3 linked regions of the Arabidopsis thaliana genome follow. The protein of the gene in region 1 interacts with the protein of each later gene in a pairwise test. Each region holds a gene or a part of one and is shown on either strand. Other genes may lie near its edges.

The links.
Region 2: the proteins of CYCD1;1 (region 1) and CDKD1;1 interact in a protein complementation assay, tested with the Arabidopsis thaliana proteins (one large-scale study listed by BioGRID).
Region 3: the proteins of CYCD1;1 (region 1) and ICK3 interact in a protein complementation assay, tested with the Arabidopsis thaliana proteins (one large-scale study listed by BioGRID).

The regions. Positions count from the first base shown.
Region 1 is NC_003070.9:26,435,577-26,444,701, forward strand, and holds CYCD1;1 (CYCLIN D1;1), read left to right. Parts: upstream 1-3,979; 5' UTR 3,980-4,076; coding exon of another isoform or gene 4,077-4,220; 5' UTR 4,221-4,438; coding exon 4,439-4,711; intron 4,712-4,863; coding exon 4,864-4,950; intron 4,951-5,476; coding exon 5,477-5,575; intron 5,576-5,670; coding exon 5,671-5,872; intron 5,873-5,961; coding exon 5,962-6,098; intron 6,099-6,182; coding exon 6,183-6,404; 3' UTR 6,405-7,431; downstream 7,432-9,125. Other genes in the region: AT1G70209 (uncharacterized protein), read right to left, coding at 4,077-4,220. UniProt on the Arabidopsis thaliana protein: May activate cell cycle in the root apical meristem (RAM) and promote embryonic root (radicle) protrusion.
Region 2 is NC_003070.9:27,711,889-27,720,246, forward strand, and holds CDKD1;1 (cyclin-dependent kinase D1;1), read left to right. Parts: upstream 1-3,021; 5' UTR 3,022-3,224; coding exon 3,225-3,320; intron 3,321-3,603; coding exon 3,604-3,902; intron 3,903-3,997; coding exon 3,998-4,106; intron 4,107-4,191; coding exon 4,192-4,317; intron 4,318-4,394; coding exon 4,395-4,630; intron 4,631-4,711; coding exon 4,712-4,993; intron 4,994-5,081; coding exon 5,082-5,130; 3' UTR 5,131-5,532; downstream 5,533-8,358. Other genes in the region: AT1G73700 (MATE efflux family protein), read right to left, coding at 5,666-5,725, 5,812-5,898, 5,991-6,109, 6,199-6,437, 6,528-6,584, 6,674-6,760, 6,837-7,381, 7,506-7,742.
Region 3 is NC_003074.8:9,057,112-9,064,151, forward strand, and holds ICK3 (Cyclin-dependent kinase inhibitor family protein), read left to right. Parts: upstream 1-3,724; 5' UTR 3,725-3,878; coding exon 3,879-4,285; intron 4,286-4,384; coding exon 4,385-4,477; intron 4,478-4,561; coding exon 4,562-4,631; 3' UTR 4,632-4,892; downstream 4,893-7,040. Other genes in the region: PRT1 (proteolysis 1), read left to right, coding at 1-37, 191-309, 397-684; AT3G24820 (BSD domain-containing protein), read right to left, coding at 5,606-5,747, 5,971-6,068, 6,837-6,967. UniProt on the Arabidopsis thaliana protein: Inhibits CYCD2-1/CDKA-1 complex kinase activity without interaction with the complex.

The sequences.
Region 1 (9,125 bases):
AGAAAAAGAATTTTACATTATAGAGTTTTTCATTAAAGAATAGCCTCAGTCTGTCAAGCCGCCATAGTAGTTAAATGATCTCGACTAAAGTTAATAGCTAAGATATAGACCAAACTAAAAAACTTAGTGGATAGTTAGATAAGCAGCAACTTAGGCACTATAACAATGATAATAACTACATAAAGCTTTTGAGTGTACTGTGTACATAATAAAAATTTGTTCGCAAATAGGTGCCTATATATTATCAAAACAAAAAGTGAGTTTATAAGATATGCTTTGGAAACAGAAAAAAACTTGATTTCCCAAAATTAACGAAATAATTCACATTTAGGTTGAAAAACGTATATGTGATTCATTAATTATTGGGGACACATCTTCACTTCTATATTAAAAATAGTTTCACATGTTTTGGGCATATATAGACGGTATACAAATGTAAATACTAAATATAACTAGATAAAGTCAAAGAATAGGATGTACTATAGTCGGTTTTTAACTAAGTGTTTGAAGTGATATCCTCTTAAATTTATTACAGTCATATTTTTCAATGTAATATCCTACGAATTCCATTTTAGGCTTCTTCTTGTTTTCATCAAAACAGTCCTCAGTTTTTATGTTTTTTTTCCTTCTATGCATGTCCCATTATTATTAATATTTTTGGTGATATGTGGTGTATGTCCCATTATTATGTGTTTTAAGTACGAATTATTTTCGTACCATTTAACTTTTTATATAGTTTTGACGAAGTGATAATATGATATAAAATGAGAAATACATGAACCATCGAAAACTATTTCCTTAAACTCTAAAGGAAATTAACATAATATATAAGGATGATTGAATTTTTACATATTTACATATATTTTTATGAGAAATATTTTTTCCATATTTAATGTATAGAAAAAATAATTTTAATACCAAAATTTGTAATTATATTTTTTTTTTTTTTGTATCGTTGTTATGTTATTACTTTTTGTTTTAATGTTAGATTATTACTAGGGGCTGGTTTAAATCCTCATCTTGTTTAAATTATAGTTTATGTATTTATTACGTATTATATAAACACATAAAAACAAACTAACTGAAATTAATTGTTGACGTGGAAACATATATCTTAGAGAAATGATGACATGTGACTGAATTTGATCGGAGCCTGTATTCCACTAAACAAGAAAGATAAGGAGGTTACTTAAACAAAAGAAGAAAGAAAAAAGAGAATCGAGACTAGCTAATAGAATTATTTGTAACAAGGGACAGAAATCGTGGTATAGCGAGTCATAATCAGCCAACGCCGACCAAAGTCCAAAAAGATTAAAGATGAAAAAAGGGTCCCTTTGAACATTTTTCGTGTGCAAATCTCGATGGCAACTCGTATCAGATTGTTTAGAACTAGTGTGTAATATTAATTTAGAGGAATATTTTCCTAGCTAGGTTTTTTATTTTTGGGATTTTGCTTAACTATACACTCTAATAATAAAAAGTTTGATTGTGGAGATTGTGATCAATATTATGGAGATTGTGAAAACTGAGCTATAAATTATAGTCAAAAGAAACTCAAAACCATACATTTTTATATTAACAGCTATTTTGCTATGGTTATATGCTTTTTTCAATCCATGCAAAATAACATGTTTTGGAGATCATTTTTTTTTTTTCCAAACAATTCAACCTTCAGAAACTAAATAAAATTACTTCAACCAAGACCAAAGTGGAAATGAGAAAGCAATGATCTTTAGTTACTGTGTGCACAGTGTATGTGAAAAATGTCACTATTCATCACTCATCATGCAAGTGCTTGTTGATATGTTTGATTAGAGACTGAAAAATGTGAAAAAGTTACAATTCATGTTGTTATACATAAAATTGGAGTCTGGCGAAAAAATCGATCAATGATCAGTGTATGAATATTATATAGGCCTCATTATCATTCCATTGAAATTGGTAGCTTCAATGATCTGAGTTCACCGATTTTTCAATGTTTTGATTATTCATTTTCAAGTTCTCCTTTAAAAAGAGGATTCTAGAAATGTTTCCTAAAACTAACTCAATGTAGAGAAAAAAAACATATATTGCTGAAAATGACTCGACCCACTTGTTAACTATTCATTATATTTCTAGTAACTCAACATGGACTCATGATCATCATTGTATATAACAAAAAAAAATGCATTATTATGATTACATATGCAAGAGTATATCAATAGGGTCCGAGTTGACTATGCTACAGGAGAACGAAAAAAAACATTTCTTAACGAGTAGTATCAATTAATGTGACGATGATAGTATAAGATCATGTCTAGTGATATCATACGTACCATATAATTAGATCTGAAATAACCATTCAACAACGATCATTGACTATAAGGCAATAGCTCCCATGAATCGTCTTGATTTTCTTTAAGAAAATAAGACATTAACAAAAATGACGAACCCTACCACGAGAATGTAGTCAGTCTGATAAATTGTTGTAGGTTGGGAGGTGCATATTTTCCCTCCTTTCAAATTTCAGTTTCTTGACTTCATTAATGTTAATATAAATAAACATATACTGCATGATAAAAATGTTAATTTAACTGTAAATGTGAATGCAAATCTGAATGTAAGCCATATGTTTTAAATATTGTCTACCTAAACAGAGAAATGAATTAGTAGCCCAACCTAGCCATAACAAATAAATAATGAAGAAGGTCTTCTTCCGCCGAAGATACCAAAAATATATTATCTTCTATTTCAAAAAGTATCCCATTTGTTTCTAATTTCTATGGTACAATGTAGTTGTTGAATTGTAATTTTCTCAATGTTAATTTCGTTATCTACGTAAGCATTGTCAACTATTTACATAGTACATACAAGTGATAGTTATATATTAGCTCTTCCATAATTTTTAATTCTTATCAATATGAAAATATTGACAAATTTATACAAATCTGCATAGAAAACACATACAAAACAAATATGAAACAATGTTAAAAAAAAAAAAAAATATGAAACATTTTTTCTAATACACCTGAAAACTAAAATAAGGGGTAAATATATTAGAGGTAAGCGAAAAATCTACTACAATCTAAACCGAGATCATCCCAATGGTATAATTAAAGTCTAAAATCTAAATCGAAGGAGCAAAGTATTTTGTAAGGCACACGTGAAAGAAAGTAACTACGGGAGTGATTAATAAAAACGGGCCAATGATTTAACACTTTTATGGCATAATTAAACCAAGAAGGGACCAAATAAATATGACATATTGATACAAAAAGGAATGTGAAGAAAATCTCCGGTTCTACGAAAAGGACTTCCACTACTCTTTCCCACACGCTCCAGACCACTGTTTGCTTTCCTCTGATTAACCAATCTCAATTAAACTACTAATTTATAATTCAAGATAATTAGATAACCAATCTTAAAATTTGGAATCTTCTTCCCTCACTTGATATTACAAAAAAAAAACTGATTTATCATACGGTTAATTCAAGAAAACAGCAAAAAAATTGCACTATAATGCAAAACATCAATTAATTACATTCGATTAAAAAATCATCATTGAATCTAAAATGGCCTCAAATCTATTGAGCATTTGTCATGTGCCTAAAATGGTTCAGGAGTTTTACATCTAATCACATAAAAAGCAAACAATAACCAAAAAAATTGCATTTTAGCAAATCAAATACTTATATATATACGTATGATTAAGCGTCATGACTTTAAAACCTCTGTAAAATTTTGATTTATTTTTCGATGCTTTTATTTTTTAACCAATAGTAATAAAGTCCAAATCTTAAATACGAAAAAATGTTTCTTTCTAAGCGACCAACAAAATGGTCCAAATCACAGAAAATGTTCCATAATCCAGGCCCATTAAGCTAATCACCAAGTAATACATTACACGTCACCAATTAATACATTACACGTACGGCCTTCTCTCTTCACGAGTAATATGCAAACAAACGTACATTAGCTGTAATGTACTCACTCATGCAACGTCTTAACCTGCCACGTATTACGTAATTACACCACTCCTTGTTCCTAACCTACGCATTTCACTTTAGCGCATGTTAGTCAAAAAACACAAACATAAACTACAAATAAAAAAACTCAAAACAAAACCCAATGAACGAACGGACCAGCCCCGTCTCGATTGATGGAACAGTGACAACAGTCCCGTTTTCTCGGGCATAACGGAAACGGTAACCGTCTCTCTGTTTCATTTGCAACAACACCATTTTTATAAATAAAAACACATTTAAATAAAAAATTATTAAAACCTCAAAAAATCTCTGTTTCTTGTTTATATATCCAAACAAATGAATGTGTTAAACCTTCACTCTTCTCTCCACACAAAATTCAAAAACCTCACATTTCACTTCTCTCTTCTCGCTTCTTCTAGATCTCACCGGTTTATCTAGCTCCGGTTTGATTCATCTCCGGTTATGGGGAGAGAATGAGGAGTTACCGTTTTAGTGATTATCTACACATGTCTGTTTCATTCTCTAACGATATGGATTTGTTTTGTGGAGAAGACTCCGGTGTGTTTTCCGGTGAGTCAACGGTTGATTTCTCGTCTTCCGAGGTTGATTCATGGCCTGGTGATTCTATCGCTTGTTTTATCGAAGACGAGCGTCACTTCGTTCCTGGACATGATTATCTCTCTAGATTTCAAACTCGATCTCTCGATGCTTCCGCTAGAGAAGATTCCGTCGCATGGATTCTCAAGGCGAGCCTATTCACTTTTTTTCTCTACCTCTCATTTTTTTCAATGCTAAAATACGCCGCCGGAGAGTGTGTAGACGCTAAAATACGCTGATCGAATCGTTACATGCAGAGAATCTTTTTTTTTACAGTAGTGTGGTATTGTTTGGTTTACAGGTACAAGCGTATTATAACTTTCAGCCTTTAACGGCGTACCTCGCCGTTAACTATATGGATCGGTTTCTTTACGCTCGTCGATTACCGGTAAATGTTTTAAAAACGTCAACGTTAGTTAATTCTATTGTCTCTGTTTTTTTATTATATTGATATGACAAATAACAACCCCAAAAAGTCAGTTTTATTTCCCTTTTTTTTTTTCAATGGATCGATTTGTTTATTGACTTTTCTTCAGAAAAAAATGAAAACGACTAAAAATTTATTAGAGCAAAAAATTATAATCGGTATAGAATAATTTAGTAGAAATTAATCTTATATTGGAATGTACGTAAACGATAGAACAGGAGCGGGCTGGGGAACTTTTTTTCGTTTTTTAATTATTTTATTGAAATTTATATTTTCGATAAAAAATTACATTGACGTTTACATAATAATAGTATACTTTTGCAGTAAACTTTCCACTTCATATATCGGCTTTATTGAAAACTTTGTAATCATAGTGTTAAAACGCTCCTACTACTATATAATATTTTAAATTAATTTTGTAATTAAACTTAATAGAGTATATAGTAATCAATGATTATATTAATCAGCTTTAATTTCTGTAAAATAGGAAACGAGTGGTTGGCCAATGCAACTTTTAGCAGTGGCATGCTTGTCTTTAGCTGCAAAGATGGAGGAAATTCTCGTTCCTTCTCTTTTTGATTTTCAGGTAAACATATATTATCATTCTTTCTTTAACATTCTGAATTTACTCTGTTTTTTTAAGAAACTTTAATTTATGTATCTCTGTATAATGTAATGTAGGTTGCAGGAGTGAAGTATTTATTTGAAGCAAAAACTATAAAAAGAATGGAACTTCTTGTTCTAAGTGTGTTAGATTGGAGACTAAGATCGGTTACACCGTTTGATTTCATTAGCTTCTTTGCTTACAAGATCGATCCTTCGGGTACCTTTCTCGGGTTCTTTATCTCCCATGCTACAGAGATTATACTCTCCAACATAAAAGGTACGTAATATTTGTATGATATATGATCCATAATGTCATTTAGGTAGCACATTTTTGGGTTGGTTCTAACACATGACCAATTAGTACAGAAGCGAGCTTTCTTGAGTACTGGCCATCGAGTATAGCTGCAGCCGCGATTCTCTGTGTAGCGAACGAGTTACCTTCTCTATCCTCTGTTGTCAATCCCCACGAGAGCCCTGAGACTTGGTGTGACGGATTGAGCAAAGTAGGATTTGTTATATCACGTTTAGATGGAACAAGGGAGTAACAGATTGCTAATTAATGTCTTTTGGTTATATTTGACTTTCAGGAGAAGATAGTGAGATGCTATAGACTGATGAAAGCGATGGCCATCGAGAATAACCGGTTAAATACACCAAAAGTGATAGCAAAGCTTCGAGTGAGTGTAAGGGCATCATCGACGTTAACAAGGCCAAGTGATGAATCCTCTTTCTCATCCTCTTCTCCTTGTAAAAGGAGAAAATTAAGTGGCTATTCATGGGTAGGTGATGAAACATCTACCTCTAATTAAAATTTGGGGAGTGAAAGTAGAGGACCAAGGAAACAAAACCTAGAAGAAAAAAAACCCTCTTCTGTTTAAGTAGAGTATATTTTTTAACAAGTACATAGTAATAAGGGAGTGATGAAGAAAAGTAAAAGTGTTTATTGGCTGAGTTAAAGTAATTAAGAGTTTTCCAACCAAGGGGAAGGAATAAGAGTTTTGGTTACAATTTCTTTTATGGAAAGGGTAAAAATTGGGTTTTGGGGTTGGTTGGTTGGTTGGGAGAGACGAAGCTCATCATTAATGGCTTTGCAGATTCCCAAGAAAGCAAAATGAGTAAGTGAGTGTAACACACACGTGTTAGAGAAAAGATATGATCATGTGAGTGTGTGTGTGTGAGAGAGAGAGAGAAGAGTATTTGCATTAGAGTCCTCATCACACAGGTACTGATGGATAAGACAGGGGAGCGTTTGCAAAAGATTTGTGAGTGGAGATTTTTCTGAGCTCTTTGTCTTAATGGATCGCAGCAGTTCATGGGACCCTTCCTCAGCTTCATCATCAAACAAAAAAAAAATCAAGTTGCGAAGTATATATAATTTGTTTTTTTGTTTGGATTTTTAAGATTTTTGATTCCTTGTGTGTGACTTCACGTGACGGAGGCGTGTGTCTCACGTGTTTGTTTTCTCTTCAAATCTTTTATTTTGGCGGGAAATTTTGTGTTTTTGATTTCTACGTATTCGTGGACTCCAAATGAGTTTTGTCACGGTGCGTTTTAGTAGCGTTTGCATGCGTGTAAGGTGTCACGTATGTGTATATATATGATTTTTTTTTGGTTTCTTGAAAGGTTGAATTTTATAAATAAAACGTTTCTATTATATGAAGGAAAAAGTACATTGAACTCAATAATGGTCGTGGAGAAGGTTAATAGCTACGTGAGAGGATAATATGAGTAGTGGTGAGATTTGATTTTGGTGTGGCCTGTGGGAGCACGAAGCATGTGAACATGTGTGTTGTGGATCGAGTGTATGTTTTATTGAACGACGAACGTAAAAAGACAAAAGAAAATTGTATTTGTTTAAGACCAAAAGAAAAAAAAAAGTATTTAATGTTCAAAATGTAATAACCTTCCTCATTTTTGCCATAATTAAACACATTTCTTTGTTTTTGTTTTTTTGGGCAAAAGATTAAGGGTTTTATATACCTATTTTAACAACAGTAAATATACAAAAGAAAATCAAATTATGAAAAAAACAAATTACAAAAGAAGTAAAAAATAGTGGTTAATTTCTCTCTTGATTTTAGTAAAGAGGAACAATTAATAGGAGCAGTAGCATACATGTGATGTTGATCTGTCTCCATGTCAGAGAAAGTGGTCTCACCACGAAACCATAACGTAGCTACACCGTTCTATCTCTCTCGAACCCCTCAAACATTAGCCACACAAAAATACCATCTTTGACTATCCATTTATATATGTATGCACACGATTTTACAAGTAAAAAAGGAAATAAGAAGTGAAAGAAAAAGAAAAAAACTTACTGCAAAACAAAACATTTTACAAAAGTGTGTTTTAATCTTATAACTAAGTTGGTTTGTGCCGACAGAAGTGCACCCCACGTCGAGAAAATGTCTCCATCCTCATAATTCTAGTTGATTAGTTTAGTAATGTGATTTATTTATTTTCCATCGACGACATTATTTGTTCACCCTCCAATGAACTAATCACTCGTCTCATAGTCATATGCTTTATACTAATCATTTACTTATCTATCGGATTACAACGTTATCTACTTTCTATAAATCCTCATGACGCTCCTCTTCTGTTTATTTATTATTTTGGTTTACCTCACTTTTCCCATTTTTCAACCATACACTGATAATATTGACATAAACAAATTTTAAATCCAAATATCAAACATGCACTGTTACCATTTTGATTCCACTCAAATGTACGTAAGGAAATGTGTTACTGCTTTTACTCTCGTACTAGTCACTATTTATTAACTTTTTCTTTCCTTTTACAAAAGGTTGGCATGGTTTTGTAAAATTCATGACATGAATTATGAATATAAATGGTATGTTGTAAGAGCAGAGCATCAATATGACATGACAACCTGAACGTGAACCAGATGGAGTTATAAATAAATACGTACAAGATAACTATTACAGGAATATAAATACAAAATATCTTTATAAGAGAAAGAATAGAAGCTTCACCCACTACTATTTAATCTAAAATGATGCAAAAGTAAAGAGAGAGTATGGTTAGGTGATTAGCAACTGCTAAATGCTAATTATAAATAAATAATGACCAGCCCACACATTTGGACATATTAATCATCGGGGGATTACCTTTATCATTGTTTATTAACTTTTTATTTATTTTAATTCTCTTGCGGGTTTTGATTAGGACACACGGGGACACAAAGGGACCTAAGCTTATATATCAGCGTATAAAGACAATCATCTTTTAATTACTATCTTAATTGATCCTTGTCCTGTTATTTGGTACACGCGTTTGCCATTAGTTGCATACCTTTTTGTATCATACACTTCACGAGCACTTGGTTTCTCAAACAGAATATACATTAATTTTCTTATAGAATAATGGATAATGACAACTAATGGGAATGGGGTAGAGACAAAACAATGAAATTATATGACAGGAGTTGCATTCATTTTAATTTATAGAAAATGGGCAGATTTATTAGTATTACTTTACATACACATGTAGTCATGTAGATGTATATG
Region 2 (8,358 bases), 1.3 Mb from region 1:
AGGGTTTGGTCCAGATCTGCAACAGACCTCTTCTGTCGTAAGAGGAAGATTGACAACTTTATTTTTTCCATGAAGGGTCATAAAAACGAGGCCCAATTTTGAAAACTTCGAAAGTACAATCAAAATAATGAAAATGTCTACATCCCAGTTTAGCAACGAAGGCAAGACCAGCCAAATAAGTTTCTACACATACAACACCAAGAGACCTCATGTTTGAAGACATACTATGTGTCTACAAGATTATCTTATTGTGCTGAAACCATAGACTGAAAGTCTGAAACATCGAAGGCTGGTTGATAGTTCTTATGAAAACTTTTGGACCGGATCGACATGGTGATCTAAGTTTTCGGAATTTTGTTTTTGGGATCAGTTTACCTGTGTTTTTCGGATATTTTTGAGTAAGTTTACTCTTTAAACTAGCACATAACTGTATCTCGATTTCTTTTGGGTTGGAGACTCAAAGTTCGAGACTCACAACTGTAGCACATGTAACTTGTTTATGGAAGTATAACAATATTAAATTTAAAACAAACAAAAATCATAATCTTTTTAGTAAACTAAAAATTGTCGAATTATATGTTTAAAACATCATTTTTTTAAGTGAAATTTGGTTTACATGATGACTCCCTTAAAAGAAATTGTTTAGCTAGGGTTCAGTTTCAATTATTCTGCCTAAAACCATTTCTTTATCAATCAAACTATAATAACAAAATTTGCTGTAGTTTACGTTCGATTTCAAATTATATGGCCAACTCCTACAGGTGATCCGAAAAGACATTCAATTTATTGATATGTGTTATTTTTATATCTTAATCTTAACTTTTATTAACTTTTAATGTTCTTCAAGTTTATAATCTTCATTGTGTAAAGACAGGAATCAAGTACTCGAGTTGACAAATGAATCGTATAAGTTAGTGAATATCTTTGGTCCTTTAAATCCGATCCGATCATCATTTTACATATATGACAGAAAACTATTTTCGCAATTAACTAAAGGACTGTGATTGTAGAACAGGATTTAGTTGTTAGATTAGATATGAGAATAATCATACAAAGATAGTCAGTGCATATGGCAGCAAAGATTGCAAAATTTAAAAGTCTCCAAAGAACCAAGGATCTTCTCATCTACCCGAGGCAGTTGCATAAACCCTAGTTTTTTACAAGAAAAACAAATAACACGCTAAACATTGCTTCGGAATCAAAATAATAACCATATAATTCTCAAATTATAGCGAATAATCCTTACCAAAAAGAAATTATAACGGAAAATTAAAGATGAATCCGAATAAATAATTGTTGAGTAGAAATAAAGAAAAATAAAAAATAGAGAAGGTGAAAGAAGATGTAGAGCTCCCTTCAATCCAAAGAAGAGTAAAAGCCATTAAAGGGCAAGTTAAAGCTCCTGAGATATGCAATCCATATAACCAAATCCTTTTTTACTTTACAAGGATTAGGGCTTATGGGATCCATAGCTTAGCAGCTTTTCTTTACCCTGCTCAACTCATGTTTGAACTTTAAGGAGCTCTACTTCCATCGTCAGATCAAGATCTATCGAAAAACAAAGTATCTTGTCAAATATATTATGGATCTGACATAAGCAAACTGTAAAGACCTTTAACTCTTCATAAAACAATGAGAAAGTTTTGATGAGAACGTGGATTAACAAAAACACCAAAAGAGGTAAATCTCTTACATTAGAGCTATGAAGGAGATATAAAGACAGAACAAAAGAGAGGAGGAACCCTAATTATTAACCCTAAACATACTTAGAGAGAAGGAAAGAGAGAGAGAGAAGAGGCCACGTCATGTTTTGGAAGAAATGATAGATAGAGAGTCGTAATTATAGTGGTTTAGATATTCGTGATAGAAGAATAAAAAGAAAAGAAAAAAAGGAACAGGTGGGTGCATCTGAAAAGACATGGGAAGGGTCTGACATTGTTTGTGTTAGATTCCCTACGCGTCACATGCGTCCTTCTCGGCTTTTGTGCTTCACTCTTTTTTTTTTTGGGTAAAGATAATAAAAATAACAATTATTATCGTTCCTGCCAACTACTAGTCCACTACATTTTTAAGATGTAACTTTGAAAATGAATTTGGCCGACCATTCTTTATTTCTTTTAGAAAATAATGTACAAGTGTTTCCGTTTGGTGACCTAATTCTAAATCATTTGTTAGCCCTAACAACTAGAAATTTCAACACGAAATAGTGAAATAGGTTGATGTACGGTCAGGATTATAAGTCTGATGATGTGGGCACGAAAGCAGGTAATTATTTCTCTGTCTGAGCAGAATCTATTGCTAGATTTATTACAACGAACTTGTCTTATTACCCTCACGAGTCTCGTCTCTTTCACAATTCAATGGCTTATTTTTAAGTGTGTTTTTTTATCCATCGTGTAAGTTTTTTTTTGAGTTGTTTAAATAAAAATTTGTATGATGAAAAATGTTCACTAGCAAAATACTTGACCCTGAAGTATCCTAAATTTTTCTGGTTCATACTCAAATGTTAGGCTTACTTTGTTTTCTTTGGTCACCTAAAAAAAAGTGGACTGATCAGCCTAATTATTTGTGCAAACTTTAATGATTGGGCTGCATCTCTTTCTTATGAGCCCATTATATGGGCCCAGAAGTTAACAGTTGCTTGTCTAACCTTCTCGGAATAGTTATTTGGGCCTTATATTTGGGCTTGATTCCACGCTTCATGAAACGGAAGTTAATCCGGTAGTGTTCTCCTGGTCCATGCTGCGGAAAATATGAGCAAGGTTAATTTGGCAACTTGTTGATGCAGCTTTTTATTTTCTTGGATTTTTTTTTTAATTTCTAAGTATGTTTAGGCAATGTTCCAATATTCATACAGCTAAAAAAATGTTAATATTCACAATCATCTTTTGTTTAACCACTAACTTATAACATTTTAAACCGAAGAATAATTGACGAGTCAATGTTGAGTAAACCGGAACAATTTTGCTTTTCATTTATAAACCTTTAAACGACGTCGTTACGATAGACGCTTCCAGCTTCGTTTTATTTCTAGCTTTAGAGCGTCTCTTTCCTTTTTCGTTTACTTTTCAATATTTTCCCCTAAAAATGTCGATTCCTTCTGTAATTGCTCTAACGGCTACTTTTTCTCCAGAGCATCATAAGATACCTCAACGTTAACGATAACAAATTAATTAAGATCAGTTTCGATCAATTGCTTGTGATCCGATTAGAGAGTTCCGGAGATGGAACAGCCGAAGAAAGTTGCTGATAGGTATCTAAAGCGAGAGGTTCTTGGTCAAGGTACTTATGGAGTCGTCTTCAAAGCTACTGATACAAAGGTGAAGATGATTCCTCTCTCAATTCTTCATATTTTTTGTCGATCCCATCGAAACTAGGGTTCCAATTCTGTCGTGTGTCTTTTGACGTGTCTCTTCCTGGGAACAATTTGGTTAAATCTGATAGCTCTTAGGTTTTAAATCAGCTAAAGTTTCGATCTTTACACTAATATGTGTTCTTAGAAGTCAAAGTTTGCATTTTTATGTTCTTAATGGATTTAAAGTGTGTAGTTTTTGTTTAAGTTTGTATAAGGAAGCTGATTTGTTTTGTTGTGGCAATTTGTAGAATGGAGAAACTGTAGCGATCAAGAAAATAAGACTTGGTAAAGAGAAAGAAGGTGTGAATGTAACAGCTCTTAGAGAAATCAAATTACTTAAAGAGCTTAAGCATCCACATATAATTGAGTTGATTGATGCGTTTCCTCACAAGGAGAATTTGCACATCGTGTTTGAGTTCATGGAGACTGATCTCGAAGCAGTTATCCGAGATCGTAATCTCTATCTTTCGCCTGGTGATGTCAAATCTTACCTCCAAATGATATTGAAAGGTCTTGAATATTGCCATGGCAAATGGGTTCTGCACAGGTACTATCATTGGAACTTAGAAGCAGAACTTGTTCTATCTCTAATAAGGTCTGTTTTGATTTAAACTTATGGATGATCATTCGTATTTGTTTCAGAGATATGAAGCCAAACAACTTGTTGATAGGACCCAATGGACAGCTGAAACTTGCAGATTTTGGGTTAGCACGTATATTTGGTAGCCCAGGTCGTAAGTTTACCCACCAGGTATGCTTTGTTTGTTGTGACAATGCTATTTATGTAGTAGTTCTGCTATCTTTCGTATCTTGATGTCCTTTAGCAATTTTCATAGGTGTTTGCTAGATGGTATAGAGCACCTGAACTTTTGTTTGGTGCAAAACAATATGATGGTGCAGTTGATGTTTGGGCTGCTGGCTGCATTTTTGCTGAACTTCTATTACGCAGACCATTTCTTCAGGTGAACCTCCATTTTGATTGTGTAGTAATCCAGTGCATCTGTCTACTTGTTTATCTAACTTACTTATTCCATTGCAGGGAAACAGTGATATTGATCAATTAAGCAAAATCTTTGCTGCCTTTGGGACTCCAAAAGCAGATCAGTGGCCTGACATGATCTGCCTTCCTGATTATGTAGAGTATCAATTTGTCCCTGCTCCTTCTTTACGTTCTTTACTCCCAACGGTTAGTGAGGATGCTTTAGATTTGTTGTCAAAGATGTTCACCTATGACCCCAAGTCTAGAATATCGATTCAGCAGGCTCTAAAACACAGGTACCTAAAAATCTCCCCTATGGATAATGCATAAGAACAGGTTATTTAGTTTTGTTCTCAAACCTTGATTTCTTTTTAAAGGTACTTCACATCTGCACCTTCACCTACTGACCCTTTAAAGCTCCCAAGACCAGTTTCCAAGCAAGATGCTAAGTCATCTGATAGTAAACTTGAAGCCATTAAAGTGCTGTCACCAGCACATAAGTTTAGAAGAGTGATGCCTGACCGAGGAAAGTCTGGTAATGGTTTCAAGGACCAGAGTGTTGATGTCATGAGACAAGCTAGCCATGATGGACAAGCACCAATGTCTTTAGATTTCACCATCTTAGCTGAGCGGCCACCAAACCGACCAACCATCACCAGGTAAAAACAATTGGTTTTATTACAGTCAGTTCTTGGTCAGCTTAAAAAATGAAAACTTTTGATGAATTCTTGATTTTTGGATTTGCAGTGCAGATAGATCTCATCTGAAGAGGAAACTTGATCTCGAGTTCCTATAGGATATCGCGTAACAGGCTTCTTCTTGACGTCGTTCTTCAGGTTCCTATAGCCTATAGGATCTCTCTTACTGGTTGGTTCCGTTCAGTAATTCCTGAAATTTTTCATATCACAACTAGTGATGACGAATAGTTTGAATCATTCTTTCTGTCTAAAATAAAGAATATAAAGCACAGATGATTAACTAATCATCATGTACACCCTTCATAGAAAAATCTCTGTTTTTGGCCTATGTTTAGAAGAGAGCTCTGATCCCAAACTCATTCTTCGTTCATTTCCAATTTAAAGTCCAGAATTTTTAGTATCGAACACGTTGGTGTATTACATATATGAATTTTTGATCTCATTACACTAATGCTCGATGAGAATGGAAACACATCCAAGGAATTTCAATAACTATGTAACAATGGTAAAGTTTTCTAAAGACCAATGTACGGCCACATCAATTAGAAATTCCCAATAAGTTCATATGGGCATACAAGAATAAAGCACTCATTAAGCTCATTTGCAACTGCTTTTTCCTCAGACGTTTATTGATCATTGGACGTCACCATCTTTGTCATCTGAAGATCCGACTCTGTTCGTAGCTTTCTTTGCCTAATCATGTAAAACAAGAAACAGAATCACATTATGGCAGAGTTATTATACATATAAAACTGAGCCGATCAGTTAAAAGGTTTTACCTCTTTATCCCAGTTTGTGAATATAGTGACTAAGGAAAGACACAACACTTGAACAGACAATGCTGTTACGATTCCCAGCCAAAGCCCCTACAATATGAAAATACCACAAAATAAAAGTTTCTATAAAACTAGTCTTGTGTTTGAACTTGAGAATGAGAAGGAGAGTTTAAGATTATTACCCGACCACCAATGTGGAAATGGAAACCAAGTAACAATCCTAATGGAACTCCAACAAGATAATATGATCCAAGATTCACACATGCTCCAATTTTCTGCCATCCACATCCTCTAGCAACCCCTGCAACCATAAATCAAAACTATTTGACCAGGATTCGAACCGGACATATATAAACAAGGAACCAAAGCCAATCTTCTATCATTCAAAACCTGAGAGTACGCATTGTAAGCCATCAAGGAAGTTTCCACATGCAACAATCGGTATCATTGATGCGGCATATGCGATGATTTTCGGGTCGCTGCTAAAAGCATGACCTAAGATCTTCCGAATCGACAACAAAACTGTTACAACCACAATTCCCTCGGCTACTGCTATGCCTACAATGACATATACAGCCAGTTTTGCCACTTGTGGATTCCCTGCTCCTAACTCGTTTGAGACCCTTATGCTGCAAGTTAACAGAAACACACAAAGTGAGATAGGTTGGTTTGATGAGATTTTTCTTTTTATGAGCTCTTGGATACATTTTGTTACTGACCTTGCAGCGCCACCAAGACCAACCGAAATCTGCCAGATTGTTAGGGAAGTATTTAGACTGAAAAGTTGCAGAAATGAGGTTGATCAAATATAAAGAAGAAGTACACAAACTCTGAGTACCATAAGACAAAGATAACCGAAATCTACCAGATTGAAAGCACCGAAGTTTCTAAAACCGGGTTAGGAAGAAGGCCTGAGGCAAGAACCAGAAGCTCGAAGGACCAAAGCTCCAAACTGTTTCAAACAGAATTTGATTAAAATGCAGATACTGGAACCTGAACAATGCAGCATTTTATGTTTGATGACTTACCAGACCATGACCGCTGAAGGAAAAGCAATTTTAGAGAAATCATAAAGTTCTTGAAAAGCCTCTTTCGAAAACCCGGTCCAACTATGCGAGCAAGAAGGCGAAAACTTGACATAACACGAGAGGAGAATGACGTTGAACCAGTAAGAGACCGAAATAGCAAGAGCAGCTCCTCTGTATCCTAAACCAGTCTTCAACACAAACAACCAACAGAGAAGCAAATGAAGACATGTAGTGATACCAGAGCAGACAAAGACAGGGAACACATTGTTCTGCGCTTGCAAGAACCTGTTGATACATTGAAGCAGTCCGTAGGCGAAGAGGCTCGGGATCATGTATTTAGCGTAGGAGCCAGCAACACTTGCAATGGACTTGTCTTGATGGACCAATACGAGAATCTGTTCTGTGTTAGCCCAAATGATTGAGAGAGGAACAGAGAGTATAAGAAGTACAAACATTGCTCTCTGCATTTGAATTCCCAATTTTCCATATAGTTTTGCTCCGTAAGCTTGGCCACATAGTGTCTCCAATGCACTTGCTGTTCCCAACTGTTTCACATACACACAAACTTTGAACAAAGTTACAAAACAGAGGATAACTAAGGTTATGTTATTGAATGCACTCTTTTTTTTTTTTTGACTGGATCGTGAGAGATGGGACGAAGAAACGTACGAGGAAGGTGAAGCCGGTAACGGAGGCAAAGGAGGTGGCGATAGAGGCGGCAGAGAGAGGAAGAGAGCCAAGATGGCCAACGAACATGACGGAGATGACTTGGAGAGAGTATTGAAGAAGGCTAACACCAATGAGTGGAGCAGAAAGCCATAGCTGCTTCTTCACCTCCTCCTTCACACGAATCATCGTCGTGTCTTTCTCTGTGATCAGAAGCGGAGGCGTCACACCATCTTCCATTTTCTCTCTGTTTCTCACAAAAAAATATGTCAAAAAAAAACTAAGAGAAATAGAATAACAACAAACTATCTCTCTCTTTGTTCCTAGTCTTTAGGGTTTGTGGAGCCGTCGTTGATATTTATGCATTTTTTAAGGAATGAAATCTTTTAATTATGTGGTAAATAGAAATTAATTTCTTTTCTACTTCCCCCTGAGGCAGATTATATTTTGTTTTATTAAATGACAACAACAATTGAAAGATGCTCACAATTCACAACCACGCATTTTTTTTTATATTCAAAGCTTCCGATTATATAGACAATGACGTGAGTGGCTCCTAGTTGCTCTTCTCTTATTCTATTCTCCATCGAGTCAGGAGACCACCTCAGACTCTGTCTCCGGTATTACTAGCAAAACTCTCCTTTAGCTTTCTTCACCAAAAGTTGTTATGATTACATAACCTATGAGGAGATTGGAAACTATGAGGAGAGGCACCATTATTGCTACATATTACAGAGATTAAGGCAATTTCCGAGAAAGTATTGAGGATTTTAGTACTAATGTACAGAAAGTTACAAAAGAGTGTGTTTACCAAGTGGGGAAAACTGAAGTTTCCAAAACAGGATTTTGGAAGTAA
Region 3 (7,040 bases), on another chromosome or scaffold:
AAGGTTCAGAAAACGCTCGCCCATAATAGCAAAGGAAGTAAGTCCGACATTCATGCCTTGAACCATTTTGTAGTTATCGACATGTATCATGTCCTTGTGCTCTCAAAGCTTAGTTCTTGTTGTTACACAAAATATGTGAGACCTATACACAGAGACTCACAGTTTGTAATCGTTTTATCTTGATGTTTAGATATTCAAAGCTATCTCAAAGAAGGCCCGTCCTTATCAAACGACAATAACAATGATGATCCCTGGTTGGCAAACCCTGGATCAAATGTTCACTTTGGAGCTGGTTGTGATTCTTGTGGGGTAAGTGCATTATTACCTTAACCCGATTGTTAGTTGTGAAACCAAAATATGTGAATCGTAATTTGACACTGGTGCGGTTTGCTACAGGTGTATCCAATCATAGGGGATCGATACAGATGCAAAGACTGCAAGGAGGAAATTGGGTATGACCTTTGCAAAGACTGTTACGAGACTCCTTCGAAAGTTCCAGGGAGATTCAACCAGCAACACACTCCTGACCACAGGCTTGAGCTTGCACGGTCTCCTCAGGTTCTGATCAATTTCAATTCTATCGGTATCCTTCTCGGACCCGTTATCTCAAATGAAGGCATGGATACAGATGAAGGCGAGGAAGGGCCTCCTGGTTCTTCTAATGAGTCATCAAGCACAGAATGAAATAGCAGTCAAGTATTAATGCATATGCTTTCGCTTTGTGTTTGCGTTTGTTATTGTATTTATACTTCATAATATATTTTCTCCTGAGAAGTCTATGGTTTTAACATTTTAAACAAAGTTTATTTCTTAACAAAGTTTGTTTGCATTTGTGGTTGTTAAGTCACCTCTTTTGTTTATATTACCTTTAAAGTGTGATTTATTTTAATTCCTCTCATTAGTACACAACTATTATTGTTAGTGTAAAGAATCCATTTAACAAAAAAAAAGATAGAAGAAATTATCCATTTGAGACAAGATAATTGAATACAATAGTTACTAAAAGGTTAACTAGCCAAATTATTTGTTTGAATGATTAAAACTTTTTTTTGCACAAAAAAAAGATGATTAAAATCTTTTTTAAGAATATATAAAATTATGTATAAATTAAATTCTTAGATCATTTAAATACCCATATTATTCAATATTCATACTGAATCCGTTATCCGTATCATTCATTTTTTTTTTAAAAAGTACAGTTATAATAATAATTGTAATATCTTAAATTACACTTATTCGATTCTTTCAGTTATTATCCGGTATTTATCTGAAAAAGAATAAGTTTAGTCATGTAAATGTAAAAAAGAGTGAACTTTTGAAACAATTGAGGCATGTGAAAGCTTTTCAATATACATATTGGCTTGAACTTGAAGGATTGCTAATAGATAGTAACTGGATTCAAGGGACCCCATCAAGGTGAAAGATTCGCTCCTCTGAGTGCGTGTGAGGCAGCTACGATGTGATTGGTCGGAGTGTGGAACCCATGACTGCTCTTACGTCGGAAATCGTTTCTCGGGTTCTGTCTTTTTTAAAACACTTTATTATTGTATTAAAAAGAAAATAAAGGAAAAAGTTTTTTCAGTACGAGCGTGTTGTGATAACAGTTTTTTTTTTTTTTTTGGCGCCCTGAAAAAAAGGGCGGGAGGACGTGAAGAGTGTTATTGCAGATCCTTTATTTGTTTTTTGTTTTTTTTGCCTTTATCTCTGATTTTTGGGGATTCGGTAGCGTTCGAGATCTGAGCTGTTGCATGATTGCTGAGAGTCATCGCACGTGTGCCTTCCTTCTTTGTACGGTGAAAATAGTTTTTACCATATTTAAACCGGTTATAAAGTTTTGTTCAGGTTTAAAGTATTATGGGCTAGTAGTGTGATCTTTCGTGTTTGGATGAACTGATGAACAAAGAAATATCTAAAGATTGTACACAGTGTTGGTCATGCATACGATTTGAAGCATATAAAATCATGATTCATGAGAATGTCCCTTTGACATCTTCGATAAAATCATGAGAATTATGAATTATCGCAAGCTTTAAATTTAGAGATTTTTAATGTAATTCATCTTCTTCAATAATAATAAACCTCTCGATTAAGAATAATAAGCACCGGGGCATTGACATTGGGAGCCTCTACTCAGTACTCACCTTGTTGTTGTTTCACGGGTTACATATATATTAATATAAGAAGGCCTTTTAACAAAAATAAATAAATATAAGTCTGATTTAATGTATAAATGTATATCACGTAACAGTAGATTAATTAGTCGCCGCATCACGATTCTTGTTTCAAAGAAACAAAAAAGAATAAGACTGTGTTTGCTACACAAAAGAAATGTAGAAAACCAAATTGAGTCATATATTTACATTTCAGATACTATAAAGTATAAACTAAATTTTATGTAAAGGAAAATTAATTTTTCTATTTAGACGTGAGTATAAGCATGTAGTCAGACCAACTTTATTTGTTCGACAAATTTACCAACAAGTCAACTTTTGAAGCCTAATTTATGAAAGATAATCTCAACTATTACATCACAAAGAGAACGGTTGTTGAGATGATTACATAACTATAAAACTAGAAGCAACCAATATAAATGTCCAATGCTAATAAATCCAAAGAAAATAAATACTTAGGTAAGTGATCAACCCTATGATGTTAATTTTAAGACACTTGTTTACTTAAAAAAAAAAAATTTACAGTCAAATGTATCTGTATACAATTAATGTGTACGTTTTTGTCAAATGTGAAGAATTTAATAGATGGTTGACTCTTTTTTTCTTTTGAACCAATAACCTGCATGACATTTGAAAATCTGAATGCTAGCTTTTGTTTTGGATTGTTTGTACAAAGTTAACGTTGACTTGTCTACCAAATTTTATGAAACAATGAAAATGGATGCAAAAAATGAACTGCCTTATTATCTTAAACCAAAACAAATTTGACACATACAACGATCTTTGCATTATTTAACAAAAATAACTAAAAATTTCCACACGATATCAATTGCTTTATAATCATGGATGGTCTACCAAAGCAATTAATATAAGCTTGATGATCTTTATTCTCAAAGACCTTGTTACTTTCGGCAGCCTTTTATTATTTGTTGCACCAACCACTCATAAACTTTAAATACTATATATATAGTGTATAGAATAATTGGAATATATATTTCCAAAAATGTTCTTCATTTGAGAACTATTATTTTATGTTATTTTGGAGTAACTAAGAATTAATTATATAATATAAGTGAAATATAGAGTCGGAAATATGTCGTTTACTACATGAATTATCAAAAAGTTGTTATTTAATACGTAAATTTTATATATAAACATTTAATATATGTAAAAATTATTGACCGGTTATTTTACACAAACTTAATTGTTTATCAGCCAAAATTTATACCAACGTAAAAAAATTAGATAACATTAACTTAGTGTAAAATAACTTTTTTCTATATATTAAATGATTATATTCAAAGTTTACGTATTAAATGAATATTTTTTAAAAATTTGCGTATTAAACTATATTTTTCTCAAGCAAACTCAAATTAATACTTTAAATATCTCATATATTGTTCATAATTTACTTTTGTAAAGTAGACTTTTAAGTTTTAATCAGATAGAATACAAAAATTAAATTAAATTCCAATTAATTAAATTTTGATTTATCTTTTTTCGAAGAAAATGATGACAATCAGGTGAGAGGGCCTTTGACACCTTAAAAATTTGTCTAATTTGTTTTTTGATTCGATTTTAAAATAAATATTTCCATTGTCCTTTTAGTTTTCACTTTTTCAGATTAAAAATCACTTTTTTCCTCCTCCTTCGTTGCTTCCCTCCTTTCGCTCTCGACCGGAGATTCAGTAAACCACCTTCCCGGAGATGGGAAAATACATTAAGAAGTCAAAAGTCGCCGGTGCCGTTTCCGTTAAGGATAAATCTCACCCACCCGCTCTAGGTTTCCGTACCAGAGCCGCCGCCGCTAAAAACCTCGCCCTCCACCGTCTCCGTTCTCATTCCGACGAAGCAGACTCCTTTAACTACCTCCAGCTCCGGAGCCGCCGTCTCGTGAAGCTTCCATTACTCACTAATACCAGAAAACAGCAGAAGCAACAGCTCATTCCTAGTGTCAATCAATGTCAAACGAAAAACCCTAGGGCTAGTTCCGGTCCGGCGAAGAAATTAGAGCCGGATACGACGACGGAAGAAGCTTGTGGTGATAATGAGAGAATATCTAGGTCTGATTGTAATTTTGGAGATAAAGGTTTTGATTTGGAATCAGAAAACAGGTAACTTTAACTCTGTTTTTTTTTTCATTTTAAAGCTCCAAACTTTTTTTTTTTACTACAATACAGAGATTGAGTTTTGATATGTTGGTTCTCTCATAGGAGCATGATAAGTGATTCAAAATCAATACAAAGTGAGATTGAAGACTTCTTTGCTAGCGCAGAACAGCAACAACAGAGATTCTTCATTCAAAAGTACAAATCCCATTTTCTTTAGTGTCTTGATTCTCTTGAGTTTTTAGAGTTTGGTCTGACTTTGGGGGAGTTATGGTTTTGCAGGTACAACTTTGACATTGTCTCGGACAATCCATTGCCTGGACGTTACGAATGGGTCAAAGTGATGCCATGAAATGAGTTGTGTTCGATGTAAAGTTGTGTGCTTTAGGAAACATCTGTGTTGGAACAGAGGAGATGAAAATTGCACACAGACTAACTTTGTGGGGTTTTAGGGTTGGTGTATAACTTGTTAGTCAAGAATAATGTAATGTTAATCTCTCTCATTTGCTACAAATAAATGTCTAATTTAACTGTCAAGTTACTTAAATTAGTATTGTAAATCTCTTCATTGTTCTTTGGTTACTTCAGTGAAGGTCTGAGTTTTGTGGTTCTGCATTAGAGTTACTTTACAAGTCATATACTTTGGATTCAAGTAGCAAAAGTAGTGAACTTGTCTGAACAAAAACCTTAGTCACAGGTTTTATCTCTATCTTCTTTATTGATAGTTTGATACTCTAATCTCATTGGGCTTTTCACACATGTGGGTACTTGTACCAATTCCTCTGTCATACAGGTTGCAGTAAAATGCTTCGATTAGATTTCATCTCTCTCTTCTTTATTGGCACTGCACTCACTGTCTTGCTTTCTGGAATTATTTCTTCAAAAGTCTAAGTTAGTAGCACCTTTCATGCTAAAGATTAGGTTTCTTGGTTTCTGTAAAATATTTCACCTCTTTAGATCATTTGCTCATCGGATGAATCAAAACATTAAATAATGATGTCTATTCTTATTAGTACAAAGCGTTTAAGACCACTGTGTTATGTCTGATACTAGTACTAAATTCACATGATCATTTACATCTCTGAAGAATCAAAACCTTCTTGGTTTTGTCACCTTTTAACACATGAACAATATTTACTGATCAAGCCCTGCTTCTCCGATGGTTCAGCGTTTTTGTTTGGTTAATTTGTGAGCAAAACTGCAAAAGCAAGTCATAGGATGCTTAGAGTGATTTCATTCTCGTTGATAATAGTTGTATTAAGTAAATACGTAGTCTGTAATATTACAGTACCTGTCATGTTCCATCCCAACTCTACCACCGAAGCTTCACGGAGTTGCAGGTCCTGTACTCAACCTTTGCTTTGTTTCTGACATTTCAACTTCATATACACCCTTGCTTTCAGAAGTTTTACTGTCTTCCATGGCCATCCTCCTGATTTGAGCCTGTTGGATTGCTAGCACCTCATATCTGCAAATAATTTCCATGAACTACCAATGGTTAAACTCATATTTCTCGTGATCTTTATTCATCACTTTGTTACAAGCTAAAAACCCATCTCACTATCTCTATATGAAAGTGGAATCATACACAGAACAACAGAGTAAGGTGCATTTAACACCTACTAAGGGCATTACACCTGGAGTTATGGAACCATCTCAAACGAAATTTTTTGGCATAAGAAAGTACTTACTTTGCCACAATCTTCCTCACAAGCTGGAAATATATCCTCCAAAACTGATGTTCCTTTAAAACTCGCGGGCATAACTTGAATCTCAACTGTGAGAGTTCCTGTAACACGAAATCAATCTTGTTTAGAGCAGCTTTGAAAATAGATTCGTTTAAACCCAATGGTCCTATCAACCAAATTCAATTTTACCAACTGTGTAACAAAATCATCTTGAACTGCAAACACGAGCATGTTTACCATTTTCACTAACATGAGCCTAACCAGATTACAAGCAATTCAGGAAGATAGTAGCATCAAATGAACTATAAGATTCGGCACATAAACTCTGATCCGATTCTGATTCAAGTGATACCAGTGGACCAAGAGCTCTACCACTACCAGTTCCATCCATTTAGAAATCTTGCTTAGTCCTAAAGAGTAACTTTCAAATTTCCCTATAAGATTCGATCCATTGCTCCTAATTGACCAAACCCAAAGCTACAAGCAAATCAAGAAGACAGCAACTTTCTATAGGCGCTATAAGAATCATCAACTCTTATTTGAATCTAATTTAAATAGCACCGTTAGCTCCAAAATCCAATCATTGATCATTTGAAATCTCTACAGACAACAGCTACAAATTCCATTCATTTCAACACAAGTTCAATCATCAAAAGAAGCAAAATTTAGGAAATCAAGAAGACAACAGCTATGTAATAGGCTATATAAGAATCATCAGCCCACACACTCAGATATGAATCTAACTTTAAAATAGCACCATTGGCTCCAAAAGCTAAACTTTGATCATTTGTAATCTCTACAGCTACCAATTCCATTCATTTCAAAACAAAAGTCAATCACAAAAAGATTCAAAATTCAAGACCAAAAACCTTCGATTTCGATAACACGAGAACCGCGTGTTTCTCCTGCCAATCAGACAAATCCTTCTTCACATTTGCAGATGAACTCATTCCATTATCTTCATCTCCCAAAGGATTCACAGATACTTCTTCTTCTTCATCTGTTTTAGAAATTACAACCCAAACTACTAAAATCAACTTCATAAATCACAAAACTAAAAAAATCCTAACTAA